2 linked regions of the Lytechinus pictus genome follow. The protein of the gene in region 2 purifies or fractionates together with the protein of the main gene of each other region. This does not show direct contact. Links are inferred from orthologs where the notes say so. Each region holds a gene or a part of one and is shown on either strand. Other genes may lie near its edges.

Evidence for each region. The genes of interacting proteins can lie anywhere in the genome.
Region 1: the proteins of splicing factor ESS-2 homolog (region 2) and protein FRA10AC1 homolog purify together in Homo sapiens (co-immunoprecipitation; 3 studies listed by BioGRID and IntAct, counting the BioPlex papers as one, with this or other methods). This does not show direct contact. The link is inferred for Lytechinus pictus from reciprocal best matches to the Homo sapiens genes ESS2 and FRA10AC1.

The regions. Positions count from the first base shown.
Region 1 is NC_087256.1:20,271,132-20,278,130, forward strand, and holds the start of protein FRA10AC1 homolog, read left to right. Parts: upstream 1-3,973; 5' UTR 3,974-4,024; coding exon 4,025-4,042; intron 4,043-6,266; coding exon 6,267-6,331; intron 6,332-6,999. UniProt on the Homo sapiens protein: May be involved in pre-mRNA splicing.
Region 2 is NC_087246.1:35,359,805-35,367,271, reverse strand, and holds the start of splicing factor ESS-2 homolog, read left to right. Parts: upstream 1-4,459; 5' UTR 4,460-4,560; intron 4,561-5,793; 5' UTR 5,794-5,883; coding exon 5,884-6,000; intron 6,001-7,161; coding exon 7,162-7,342; intron 7,343-7,467. Other genes in the region: uncharacterized protein LOC129272812, read left to right, coding at 1-636. UniProt on the Homo sapiens protein: May be involved in pre-mRNA splicing.

The DNA.
Region 1 (6,999 bases), on a different chromosome or scaffold from region 2:
ATTTTTTAATGTTTGTACCTCTTAGGTATACCTTCCTCTCAACTTTGCAAATTTTGGTGAAAATGACATGAATTTTGAATAAAGTGCAGCATTTATTGTACTTTTGTAGTTTGTTATTGAAATTTCACATTTTTGAGATTGGGTTTTTGTTATCTTTTACACCATTTCTAAGAACTGACAGTGCTGTTAGACTTAAAATTGCAAACAAATAGCACTATAAATAGATTATCCCTCCTAACGATACAATTATTAACTCTCTTGCGAAATTTGATGACTTTTTCATGTATTTTGACTGAGTAATAAAGATTTAAATTCATTGTAGTAATCTTGCGAGGTCTAAAAATGCCAAATTATTTTGAATGCGCAATTCTTAAGAACATCAATTTGGGTGAACTTTGAAGCTCTATAGCAAAAAATCAAGCACATGGACCTATGTTAATTTTTGCATATTTCAAATATTAAGGTTCTAAGGTATCTATGTGCAAAGTTTGGTGAAAATGGCATGGATTTCACTTTAACTGTGGAACGTCCTTAAGGACCAAATTTTTTATTTTTTTTTCCAATTTCAAGCCCATGCATCTCTATTAAAGTTATCATTGTTTTATCAATTGATTGTTCAAATGTGATTGTTTGAAAGCTGAAATTCCAAACAACATTATTTTTTGTGACTATGAGGCCTAAAACAAATGGGTTTCTGACTCTGTCCAAAAATTTACTCTGTAAAATTCTGCATTTTCATGCATACATATAATTGGACACTCCTTAATTACGTGTTGCCCATATTAAAAAGAACACTTGAAAATATATATTCAATGAACTTAATTATGTTCACTTTCCACACATCCATTCTATCCAAAATGTTCTCTCCATAAAACTAAGCAATAGGCAGAACATGTAATTAAATGATAAATGGGTGAACTTTATGCCTCTCAATTTAAAATAAAAAAATCATTTCGATTTTAGGAACTACTACATGTAAAATGAGGCAATTATTTCAAAATTTAAAATGGAAAAATCCTCCACATGTACCTTCATTAGTGTGTAATTGTAATTAACAGCTTTCCAGAATTTCATGGATTTTTTGTTTTTTCATTTCCTGAACTGAACCTTTCCTGGAAAAAAAATGTCCCTGAATTTCCTGAGGCTGAACTACCCAATGTTGAGAAAATTGACCTGACAAATAGATGACTCGACATTATCATTATTCCGACAGGAAGCAGTTCAACAGCCCTGTGCCTGCATAGACTGTTACAGCAAAATAGGCAACATCTCTGACAGACTCCACATATATTGCATCTACAACATACTTCAACACATTCACAGGTTACATCAAAATTGTCTAGTTCTAGATCTATCCCATCCCTTGGCCCTTGGTATTATTGCCTTGAATAAAACTTTTAAAAGGCTGCCTTGATTGAACTCTCTCATTCTCTGTATTTTTCTCCTTTTATTAAATTCCAGACTATTAAATGGTTGTTCCTCTTTCTCTTTGCCTCTTTCTTCTTCATGCATTCACTACCAATATAATATGACTCAGAGCATAACAATAATTAGTATGAAAAGCTTACATGAACTACTACTAACGTTACATGAAGAGCATAAGTTACGTTATAACAAACATCCATCTTATCTACGGTAGATGAAGAACGACAAGTGCTGCCTTGACGCCAGACAGCGCATGCAGGCAGTTTCATCGCACTGCACAGGCGAAGCAACACAGCCAACAGCAGCCAGGCACTCGTCTCAATCACACTCGCAGTCAAAATCACAGACGCCATGGCGCTTGATCAGCTAAAGCCTAAATTACAATTTATAACTCATAATGAAACTCAAAAAAGGGTTACATTTAACTGATAACTCAAAAATGACTCACCGTCTTCCAAATCTGTTTCCGAACAAAGTGTAAAATCAATCTGTGGGCAGCGAAACGAGGGTGTTGTTTGTGTACAGCAGGGAAATCGTATGGGGGGGGAAACGTTATGGTATCCTCGAAGTTCGAACAAAACACTTCGTTTTGGTGGAATTTCGTTTTAACCTAAATTTGAATTAATCTCTATTTCTCATAGGTTCTGTCAGTCTAATTTAGATATAAAATTAAATCAATGATTATAAACCGATTATACAATACGTCATTAATGTGATACTAGCTCTTGATTTACTAATCAAATATTGTCCAAGCAAAAGCCAATTTCACCCAATTCAATGATCTAATTGTTGACAATATAGAGTCCGTTCATCTTCGACTTTTAAATAAGATCATCTCAAGAGGAGCGGAACGGATTTGAAAGTGGGGGGAGTGGAGGGGGCTGACCATACAAAAAATCATATTCAGATAGTCATTTGTACGTTTTTGTACAAGCCCCCGATGCCCACCCCCGTTTTCGCGGCCCCTCTTATGATTCTTCATGAACTAACTTTATACCGGGACTTAATACAAAATGAAACAATATAAATCTAAATAAACTAATTAACAAAGTATTGTAAGTGTAAAAAAAAAAAAAAAAAATATAGGAAGATTTATCACTACACAAATTATAAAGAAACAGGTATGTAAAACCGTGATGAATTGGGAGGGGGGTAATTGAGAATAAAAACTTAAAACAACTGCTACGATACAGGCCGGGGAGATGTGCTCTGTGTAAATGTATGGCGTTTGGTGTCATTGGACAGTGATGAATAAATCATGAAGAGGAAACTTACAAAGAATTTGCATGAGGATTAAACGTTCAAAAGAATTACAAATTTTCTAATTTCATAATTTTTGAGGATCCTGCAGACTGAACAAGCGTTGCTTTTTTAATGCAGGTTCCCTTATAATTATTTCACCATAATTCATTTTTAATTGTCTTTGATTTTCAAATCGCTTTTAATTGATTTAGATGAATGGTGCCATGTCCGATTTCTGATTCGTACACCGTGTTAGTTCTTCTGATTATTGTTTTGTATTATGTTCATAATTATGTGAAGTATGCCTAGGTAAAATAAAGTCAATTATCAAATATGTTTATTTTCACTTGCGATTTTAGACTTAAATGTTTTGCATTGATAATAAATGTAGTGCTATTTCTATCTTCTTTTTTTTTTTGGGGGGGGGGGGCTTACCTTACTTCTCCCTCCCCCCAGAAAAAAAATGTGTTAATGACACCCATCCTTCATACACTCTTATTTAAATGCTTGGCTAAATTCATTTTTTTTTTGGCGAAAAAACTACAGGAAGAGATGGGTCTCGATGCAAGAAATTTCCTGTCTCAAGCAAAGTGCGGAAACCCCTCGTTGTGATATGTTTATATTTTTTTGAACTTCCTTTATGATTCAGAACTTTAATAAAAAGGGGGGAAAATGAGGCGAAAGGCAATATCGTTAGATACCCAGCACAATGCCAAGGACGCACGGCATATGAGATGGAGAAAAAGTCTCAATTGCTTTGGTGTTTATTCTTTTGGGGAAAAACATAAGAAACTCCCACTTGGCCACATGCAAAGCTAAACCTTTCTTCCTTTTTTTCCTTCACCTTTGATCCTCTTCCCCAGCCTGAGATTCCTTTTTTTTTTCTTCATGGGTGGGGTGGGGGCAACCGCCTCTCGCTATGCACCTGCCCTGAACATCGATCCCTGAATTATACCGTACCAGTTTATAAGTTCTTTTAGGACTTGAATGATGTTTATGTATGACGAAATGCGCTGGTAGAAACATGAACTAATGCATTTTTTTGCCATTAAAAAAAACCTCAGGTACGCGGAGGACCGTCAAAATATTTGAGTTCAATAAAGCATTTAATAGCAAAAATGTATAAACTGTCAATTTTTTATTTAATTGACGATTACGTGAAGCTATAAGAAGCAGATATTTCTGATTTCCGAGTACATTGGACAATGACATGTATATGTTTTGGCAATTGGACGGCGAGATATATGTCGATTCGCTTGCTCTATTTATTTGCTTTATAAAGATACAGTACGGTACGAAATTACGTAATCGACAATAACTGTTGGTGAAGTGCACTGAGCTGAGCTGAGCCTGAGCAATGGGGGATTTTAGGAAGGTAAAACAGTCGATTCTTGCATCTTTTAGGCAACTTTTGGCTGCCCATCTGTTATGTATAAAATGATTGAGGAAGAGAGACTGTATATTCCGCGCAATTTAAAAAATGTTTTCTTTTCCCTTCCAAATATGAATATGAATTAATGATGCTGGTCGACGTCGACGAAGCGAACTACGCGCATGCCCCAGACACTCGCTTTCATGTTTGTTGAGCCTAATGTCACAAGTCTGAGTGAGTTGAGCACAGTCACAGATGCAGATGAAAAATGTAGCCAGTTCGTGCTTTTATTTGTGAGAACTGCAAGTAAAAACTCTGGTATTTTTTATTTACCAAAAAAGAAAATGATCAAAAATAATGGGCAAGTTCACCCTGAAAAAGTGAAATGAAACTGAGTGAAATCTGAATTCTGATTCTGAATCACTCTGAATTGTAAATTATAAATATAAGTAACTAACATAATCACAACCTATCATGCCTATGCACGTTAAAACCAATTATACACTAACGTTATTCGTCAAAGAGTGGTTTTCACCCGGTATATTGCACCTGCCCAGGAGGGCCCTGCATCGTATACATCCAGATCCAGAACTTGGACTCTAAAGCATGAAAAGACTAAATCTAGAAAAGACTAGAAATCTTTGTCAAAGTGGAACTGTAGCTGGGAGTGTTAGTGTTGAAGTGACCACTAGATCTACCAGAAAAATAAAAAGGCTCAACTTTAACTTTTGAAGCCAAGGTCAAACTTTGACTTTGTCATTGAACTTTGAGGAAAATCTGTCAAATATTAAGGAGGTTATTAGAATTCGAAGTTTTTTATTGATATTGATGCCGTTATGACGTTAGAAGCTGCACCATATCGGATATTAGTAAAATGCGTAAATTTCAAATAATCATGATGACCATTTTATTTTCAGAAACAAGTGTAAAATAATTTATCTGTTGATATTCTGATGATGGCAAGAAGGGCCAAGCCGGGCTTCATCACTCTTTTATTAAATGAACAAGGTTATGATATATAACCTTGTTCTCTGTTACTATTCCCTGTGTGGTGAAATAAGGTTGGCAATGTTTGGCTTGTTTTCTCTTGTTTTGGGGGACAAATGCTTGATTTTTTTTACACTGTCAGTTTCCATTAGAGCTATTCATCATGTAACTTGGTTCCTGAGTAAATTGAAGTCTTTTTTTTTTCTGAATTGAAAATAGAGATTGAAAAATAAAAATTTTACTTTCCATCAATAAAGGGCCTGCACAAAAATATACCAAAAATTCAAGTTTTTGAGCGCTCCAGTGAATACAAAAATGATCCCCACATTACTAATGAAAAAGTGACATTTTAATCAATTTTTTAAATGTGTGTTGTATACTCAATAGATCTACATTTAGATTCCCCCACAGGCAGGGTGGTAGCAGTGAACAAGTGGGCCTCATTAACTCAAGAGTAAACATGAATTATTTATTTTTATTCCACAAATTAATTCACTTGATAATGTTCTTTATAATTAAGAGTAGGGTAAGTTTGCTAAACATCTCATAAAAATTTGAAGAAAAAAAATATTATTTTCTCGTAAAAAACCTACATGTAGTCAATTTCAGATTGAACAAAAAAAATAGTGCCACATGTCTGCGCATCCATTCACTTTTCACACGATTCAGAGAATGTGAGACCGTCACATTTAATTCCTGAAAATCAATGTTTTTCCACCATTTTTATATGGATTTTTAAAATCATTATCTGTCTGTGTATTGCAGGTGTAAAGTTTGTGGTCATTGCATGTCTTCTACTCTTCTTTTATTAGAATCGTGCAGATATGTGCAGACAAGGGGATGTTACCAAACAAAAACCATTTTCATTTTTTTAAAGAAAATGACATTTCATTGATTTTTTTTACTGCACAATTTATGTGGAAGGTGCTCGCATATCATGAAGTCACAAATCGAAATATTCAAATTCTAATTACTTTTTTATTCTTTGATACATTTTCCTCAAACCTTCACCAATATTCATTTTTCTGCTATTTTTACAATAAACTTTTTGTCAGGGAACTTCCCCAATCAATCTCAGGAAGAAATATAACAAACGAATCAGAATTTTGTTGATTCATTACAGCACTATCACTTACCGGTACTTGGATACACATATTGGATAGTAAATGTCAAAAATTTTCCCATATTATATCAAAGTTTTCTCTTTCTTTTTTCTTTGTAATTCCTCATTTTTATTCAGAGTCATGCAGGAGGGGGATATGGATCTGAATTTGAATATGACAGTGAAACTGAAAGAAGAAAAAGGTAAGAACTAAATGCAGATTATACTAAAACAGTAAAAATAAATAGAAAAATATTCAGTGTCTCTTCTATAGATATTATTGTTTTGTATGTCTATCTTTGCCCCCCCCCCCACACCTGATTTTATAATTACTAACTATCAATTGAAATCTGATACCAATAGTTTCATATGACTGATCATGGAACTCTCTTATTAAGGTCGATAGTCTCATAATGATAAGCAAGACTGGTTTGAAATGTGGTAAATTGATATCCAGGGACTCAAGTTAAAGGGGAGTGAGAGTGATCACTCGCTACCGCTCTCCTTAATCCATTTTTGAGAGAGCGATTTATCACTCGCCTCAGCAATTGCCTATAACATGAGTGTTAGTCAATGATCAACTGTTAGAGTCAACCTTAAAAACCTCATTCTCTGTCAAGGTTTTGTAAATAACAATTATATTGTAAGCAATAACACACTTGCAAAAATTATTAAATAGTTCAATGAGATAAATACTGCATATATCTATATCTGATTGTTTGTCTCCATTGGTTGTGGGTTGTAACTGAGTGTACATTCCTCAATCCATTTTGAAATCGGAAAAGAGCTTTTTGTAGTGCTCCCTTAATTGTCCCCTTTAAAGTTTTAGGAGAGCTTTTTATTGCTCCCCTCATAATTATAAAACTGAGTC
Region 2 (7,467 bases):
ACCGGTCTTCGACCTGGACTGGATCCTACATCGACGACAACCGATCCTGATCAAGCGTATGATCTGGTCGAAGTTGGTAACATGGTGGGAAAGAATGTGAATTCAAACATAAATCCTGAGACTTCTAGTAAAGACACGGGGGATGACGAGGATCCGTATTACTTTAAGTTTGGAGGATCGAAACGAGGAAGCTCCACAGCTCCTGCATCTTTACGTCTTACCCAACAACCAGATGGTAAACCTCCTAATAAAGAGACAGGCATCAAGGTAAACCGGAAACCAACAATCGCTGCTAAACCAAATCTTGCCACGCATACGAAGGGTTCCGTCGAGGAGAGTGCCGACTACGACAAACTCGATCGGTCTGCCATCCGCAAGCATGACTCGGAAGATGTTAATGCAAATGAATACAATAAACTTTTACCGCGGTTGGCCGTCTCAAACAACACCAGCTCGGGTGATATGCCAAGTGATGGATATCTGAAGGTGACATTAGGGAATGGAAGACATTGTGGAGATGATGATACCGATGGTGATCAAAGTCTTATGGAGGCTATAATTAATGACTATAATAAACTTGACAGGGGAGTAGAGAAAGAAATTGACAGTTTGGCGGTTGCGGTTGCAGATAAGTGATCGTCTCTTCCTCAAGGCAAACTGAAATAAACACTTGACTCGTACTATCATTTCATTCAACATGCTATTATCAGTACTACATTATATGATCAAGGGTGTGGTGAAATATCAGTAACTTAATGCAAGTCATATCTTCATGTGTTATTGACAGTAATTTATTGAGAAAATGTGTGTAATTGGCAATGGCGAAGAGTACTACTTGATATAGCTGTATTAACGTCTAATTTAACCTCTTGCAAGCAGTGATCTTGCACTGAAATCTTGGAAAACTAGATGAAAAAAACAACAAATTATTAATGTGACCAAGGCCTCATTCACAAACCACCTAAAGGTATATTGTGCCCAATGTCATTTACTGACTATAGTAAGTTTTGAGTAACATACACATGTGTAATGATTTTTCGATCACATTATTGAAACGGTCAAGTGAATTTGGTTCACAAAGAAATTGGGACACTTTACGTCCTCTCTAGAACTCATCGATTTGGCTGACTGACTTTTAGGAACAATGGGCTGTTGACCAGTGTCGGGACTTCGGCAAAACTTAGCAGTTGGCCAATTGCCACCCAGGTCCATCCAAAGTTCAGGCTACCTATAGATGTCTATGTCATAGAATGTCTTACATATATGTCTAGACATTGTGACATAAAATTAAAGTAAATTAGTAAGTCCAATGGATTAGTTTGAACTTTTAAGTATACCTGGCTCTTTTGAAGACAGGTCAATGAGCTACGGAGAAACATCATTGATCTAGAGATGTATCTCGTCAGTTTGATCACAAACATAACTATTATTGTGTTCGAAACTGACTCGTATATACCATATTGCTTGATATAAGTAATATGTGCACATACAATTGATTTATTTTACTCGAATTAGAAAAAAAGTATTATTCTATGGAAATGCGGGAGGGGATAATATCCCAGTGTCATGATTTATATTTCGTTCGATATGGTTGGGATGTGCGTAGTCAGCATATGTTGTAATAACTGTAATCATGATTACTATACTTATTTATCCATATATGTTTATTGCCGACAATTCAAGGGTCAGGAGCCCGTTTTATAACACTAGTATTATAACAAATTTACAATATCAGTTTAAAGCTACTGAAACCAGTAAATTTGATTGGATAATAACCAACTTGTTAATATAGAAATTGTACTTTGTTGTTCTAACAAATTTTTATGAAATTGGTCCTTGATCTACCAATAGCGTTTGTGAAAATAAAAGAGAGAAATATACATTTTCAATGCCAAAGTGTTGTATTGCTACACCTTTGTCTCGCCGATTTCTATTAAATATTGGCTCAGTGAAATAGTCCCCCCCCCCCTCTCTCTCTCTCACACATCCCCCATCCCGTATGAAACACATGCATCGTCGTCTGTACTGTTCGAGGGTATATAATTCACTGAAGTGGGCGCGTCGGAAACAAACATCCAAAGGTGGACCCACCTATTGGGGCCGGGTGCTTTGCCACAATATTTTGTGGCAAATTGGGCGCCAAATACGCAGAATTCCCTGGCTGGGGTACGTTGGGGAAGGGGGCTGGAGATATGTATTTTTCCCAAATGATACCTTGACAGTGAGGAAGGGAAATGACTGCTAAGCCTTTTCGAGAGTACTCTTTGTTTCGGTACACAACCCTGGTGAATTCAAAGATTTTCTGCATTTTTTTGGGGGGATGGAGGTGGGGGGGGGGGTAACTACCTCCACTATCAATAAACGCTCGTATGCGTGATCCCGCATTTGAGAGCCTACAGGCACAAGTTAATCCCATGCACACTAATACACATTTTGTGGAATCATGATGACCCTGCCCCTCCTTCGTTTCTGGGGCGCAAATGATCATGCCAGTGGCTCTGTTGCCGACTTACAAGCTTGAATATGGTTCTATTCGTTTTTTTTTTTTTTTTTTTTTGGGGGGGGGGGTAATTTCCGTACAATCTTGGTACCTACACTGTAAACTGGTGTTGACTCAATGATGCATGCACGAAGATGCCGATTCGCGAGGCAAGTGTGCAGCGAAAAAATAGAGACGTCAGGCCCTATACAATACTAGTATATCATAATTTTTCCAAAATCGTCTACTTTCTTTTAATCGGGGGGGGGGGGGGGGCTGTATAGCCTATTACGTCCCTTCCACTTCGTCCCTTTCCCTTCCCGAATCCTACGGCCCTCCTGGTGAGCATGTCATGAAATGACGGACTTTTTATCCGAGGCCTGTTTTATCGGACAGTTAATAGTAACGGTGATTTGACCAATCAGAATGAAGGAAAGGTTTCACATCTGACAACTTGTCAGACAAAAATGTTGATGAAAGCCTCCCCTGGAATGGATATCCTATCCTATTTAGAGCACGAGAGTCTTCTTCTGCAATAATATTCAAAGGGCTCTATCTGCAGCATAGTCTCTCGAAGGTGAAATTTAAGGATGCATGCACGTTATGAGGAGGAGTCTATTTTCAAAGTGGTTTTGCAGGAGAGTTGGGAAGCTGTCAAGCGAACTTGCATTTAGGCCTACTATTTGATGAGGGAGTTTATTCCACTCAGGAACAGATAGTTGGGCAAAGTCAAATTTGTCAATAAAATCTCTTGAAAGCAATGAGATTGATCAAATTATTATACGGCTTGCTCGCTTCGCTCGCAACTTTTAATAAATCTTACCCAATAAGCCACATATGGCCCCCTCTAATATTTTTGACCATACATGTGCATCTTTCATGGCATAGCCTATAGTCCTCCAATGTACCATGTGAGTAAAAAAAACTGAACTGGACACCTCACAAACCCTCGATTTAAGGAAAAAATATTGCATGAACAAATAGTTATATATTAAGTTTACTTGTACCAAACGCTCTTGAGGTGTGAGTATTTTTCAGACGCTTCTGACGAAGTCTTAATAAAGACGAAAGCTAAAGCTAAGGATGGTGTCCTGCGTCATCTTTTGAGTTGGCCTCATTTTATATATATATATACCATATTTATCAGGTATGTGTTAACGCTTGGATATTACAGTCATGGGTTTTTTTTTTACTGTGATGTAAAATTTGATTTACGTCAAAGTAATTCACAGCTGCAATGAATGAATCCAGATGTCAATGTTGTAATCCTGCATGAGTTATAAACATAATTTGCAAACCCCTTTTCAATGAAATTAACTTGAGAATCGACTCGGATACCAAAGTGTTTATTAAACAATTATAATGTTAATTACTGAAAAGGTGTTTCAATGCAAACCTTGTAGGATTGAAACACCATTGACATCTGGGTTCATTAATTGGAGACCATTTGGAGCCATGTCTTACTTGGGAGCAAGTAAAAATGTACATCACTGCAAAGAATACCTACTAATTATCCAACAGTGAAGACATATCACTTAAATATAGTATCATGTAATTATTATTTGGGAGAAGATGCTCTTTCCGGCCACAGATTATGATTAATATGTGCTCATGTCATATTTCTTCCTTAAATAGGGATTCGTGAGGTGTCAATTTTTTTTTTTTTTTTTTACTCACACGGGTATAACTAAAATCCCCCAGGGTCGAGGAAAAATAATGGATGTGGTGAAAGATAATTTTATATAGGTGGACAAAATAAGCTTATTTATCTACCTCTAAGTGTGCGTGTGTGTGTGTTTTTTTTTTTTTTCTCAGACGTGTATCAATCCGATATGGTTATGTACATCTTGGACCGACCTTTAACGTCATTATCCGAAAGATGTTACCGGGAGTTGAACCTCAAACCTCTGCATCAATTTTTTTTTGGCCTTGGATTGCAGCAGCTCGCAGGTCGCAGGCGCACGGCGCAAACATAACGTTAACGCGGCGCACCGTTAGAGGGCGCAGGTGCAGAAAAAACGTTCAAGAAGCGATCGGGAACAAACAAAAAGCGGTACACCACGAAAAGCCTGCTATTAAAGGTAAGTTATTTATCATCATTATGCGATTTCTGTCTTTTAAAGAGTTAATTTTATAATAATAAGGTACCTGGGAACCATACGATGAGTAAAATTTTGACTTAGCGTTCCTGTAATCCTACCTGCTTAACCTTTTACAGTTTAATTTTAACAAGTTTAATTTTATTTACTTCAGTCCCACTCGCTGAAATTGGTGCAGGTCTCTTCCGCAGGGCCGATTTCAACCCGGCGGCCGTAGCCAGGCGGCTTCTTGAGACTGAGTCTGAGAGTAAAAATTATTTACGAACGCAGGCTTACTCTCAAAGAAGCCAGGGGCCTGTTGCATGAAAGGGTCTTTCGTAGAACCATTCTACGTAAGAACGAGATATCGCTCAACTGTATATCTACTTTTACAAATTATACTTGTTAATGAATAATGTTATATAGCCTAGGCCTATGTGCTTTACCTCACAACCCTTTTTGTCAGATTTTGGCCTTTTTGATGCATTACCTGCCTGATGTGCAAAAAGTACCCTTTTACACATTTTTTTGTCACACATGTGTACAGTAATATAGTTGCCCCTCCCCCAGGCCGAGCCCCCCCCCAAAAAAAAAAAAAAGAACAAAAGAAAGAAATCAGGAAATTAAAGTGAAACTCGGTCATGATGTCCTGCAATTTTTTTCTTTAATGAAAACTATATAGGCCTACTGGTAAATAAGTTAATACATGTAAATAAATAAAACAATATATAAATGAATAAATAGATAAATGTAGTAAATAAAATAAATGGTATCTTTAAGTTACAGATTGTATATTCACAATTCAGCAATTGATGCATCTCATTACAGTAAACCTGTGTTCTAACAACAAACTATTTTGCAAAACAGAAAATATCTGAGAGTTGATTTCAATTGCTTCAGTTTCATTCATTGAATTTTCACCTGTTTTTTAGTTGAGCTGATTTGCATGGAGTCATTTGACATTCAAAGTTTGTGAGCCCTCGTCTGTTTTCTCACCCAGGACGGTTGAATATTTGGGTTCTTAAAGTTATACATAACTTAACATGTACTGCTTTATTAAGAATCCCTATGTTACACGGTCATTGCTTGGAGGCATGGCCTGGTACCCTAGCATGAGATGCATCATTATTGATGATCAAGCTGTGTGCTTTCAATTTGGTCTAAATTCTGTAAAGAAGAATATACTTTCTGTGTGCTTCCCTGCTGTCTAATATCAGTATTTTTGTTTTGTTGCAGGTTGAGAAGTAATTCAGAGTACTTAGTTAACAAGGTGATCTATGATCTGAGGCTGGCTTTGCTGGAGAGTCCTGCCCCGACAAAGTAGAGATGGCTCTGGTAAAATCAGATGAGAAAGCCATGGTTCCTCTGACTTCCAAACCAGCATGGGAACAAGAAAAGAAGCCAGACAAAAGAAAAGTACTTGATGAAGAGGTGTTTGTTAGTGTGAGTAATCCTGTCCAGTTCTAGTACTCTTTAATGGGTTTTACAGCGTTTATAGATGCATCTTTCTTTAATTCCGTGTACATGAGATATAAAGTGAATAACAAAATGAAGGTTTATGGAAGGCAGTATTAAAAGATGATGAACTATTACAATATGAATTTACGATAATATGAAAGAGCAACTCCTCATCTTTTTTATATTCATTGACACCATTCTCATACCACTGACGCATTTTCTTCTCCAAGTTTCGATAAAATAGGTGAAGTGTATGGAAACTGGTCAGTTTAACAGGAGAAGTGAAAATTTCAGCATTCATTAAAAAAACGTTTATGAACAGTGAGCATGTCAAGTAGCAAAGAAACCACTCCGTTTAATCAGTAACAGTTTCATTTCTGCCTTATGATACTTGTTAAAACTGGAAAAGTTGGATTTGTACCTGTTGTTTAACATTGATATCAATTATTAAGTCTTTCATATTCCAGGAAAAACAAATTGTAATTGTTAATAATCACCCTAAATTTTGATTACATCCTTTTTGTTTTTTTAAATGCACACCGTAATTTATAATTTTTGTTGAATCATCAGGAAATTAATATTTATCAACTGCTTCAAGGATTGAGCTTCTGGGGGCCATCAGATTTGAAGAAGATATAGCATGGAACTAGTACATACTTGTTCAATTACTACAATAACTACAATACTTGATTTTTGTTGACCTTTTACTTTTCTATTAGAACATTTTCATGAGTAATAACTTCACATTTATTAGATTAAATTTGGATATGATTTCCACCATTTCAATCAGCTATTCAATACCTACATGTATTTCATTGAAATTCTTGATAGTCATTCATTCTAGTCCGTCATTCATTCTACAATTTATAGAAAAATGAAATGCAGCAGAATGATATGATATCAGAGCTGTGATGACAAAATGTTGCTAAGCTTTTGTGACTTTAAAGATCGTTCCCATAAGCGGCCATGATGGAGGACAACGACACTTGTGCATTAGACCATAAAAAGATGACTTATCACAGTTGATGCACATATTGTCTTAATGTTAGTCTGAGTCATCTAACATGGCAACGCAGGATATGATACACGTGCTAGTGTAATTTTGTGATTTTTATTATCAAGTCCTTGCTTTCCATCTCCCTGTAGGACCTGGAAAAAATCATCCAGCGTGACTTCTTTCCTGACTTGAAGAAGTTGAAGGCTCAGCATGAATACATGGAAGCCATGCAGAGGAATGATCTTGAGAAGATGAGAGAGCTAGCCATCAAGTATGCCTCCACCTGCAGAACATCAAGACCTGGAACATCTACGATAACTCCCATGCAAGGTATGATGATGATGAGGATGAGGATGATGATGGTGGTGATGGTGATGATGATGATGATGATGATGGTGGTGGTGATGATGATGATGGTGGTGGTGGTTGTGATGGTGGTGATGATGATGTTAGTG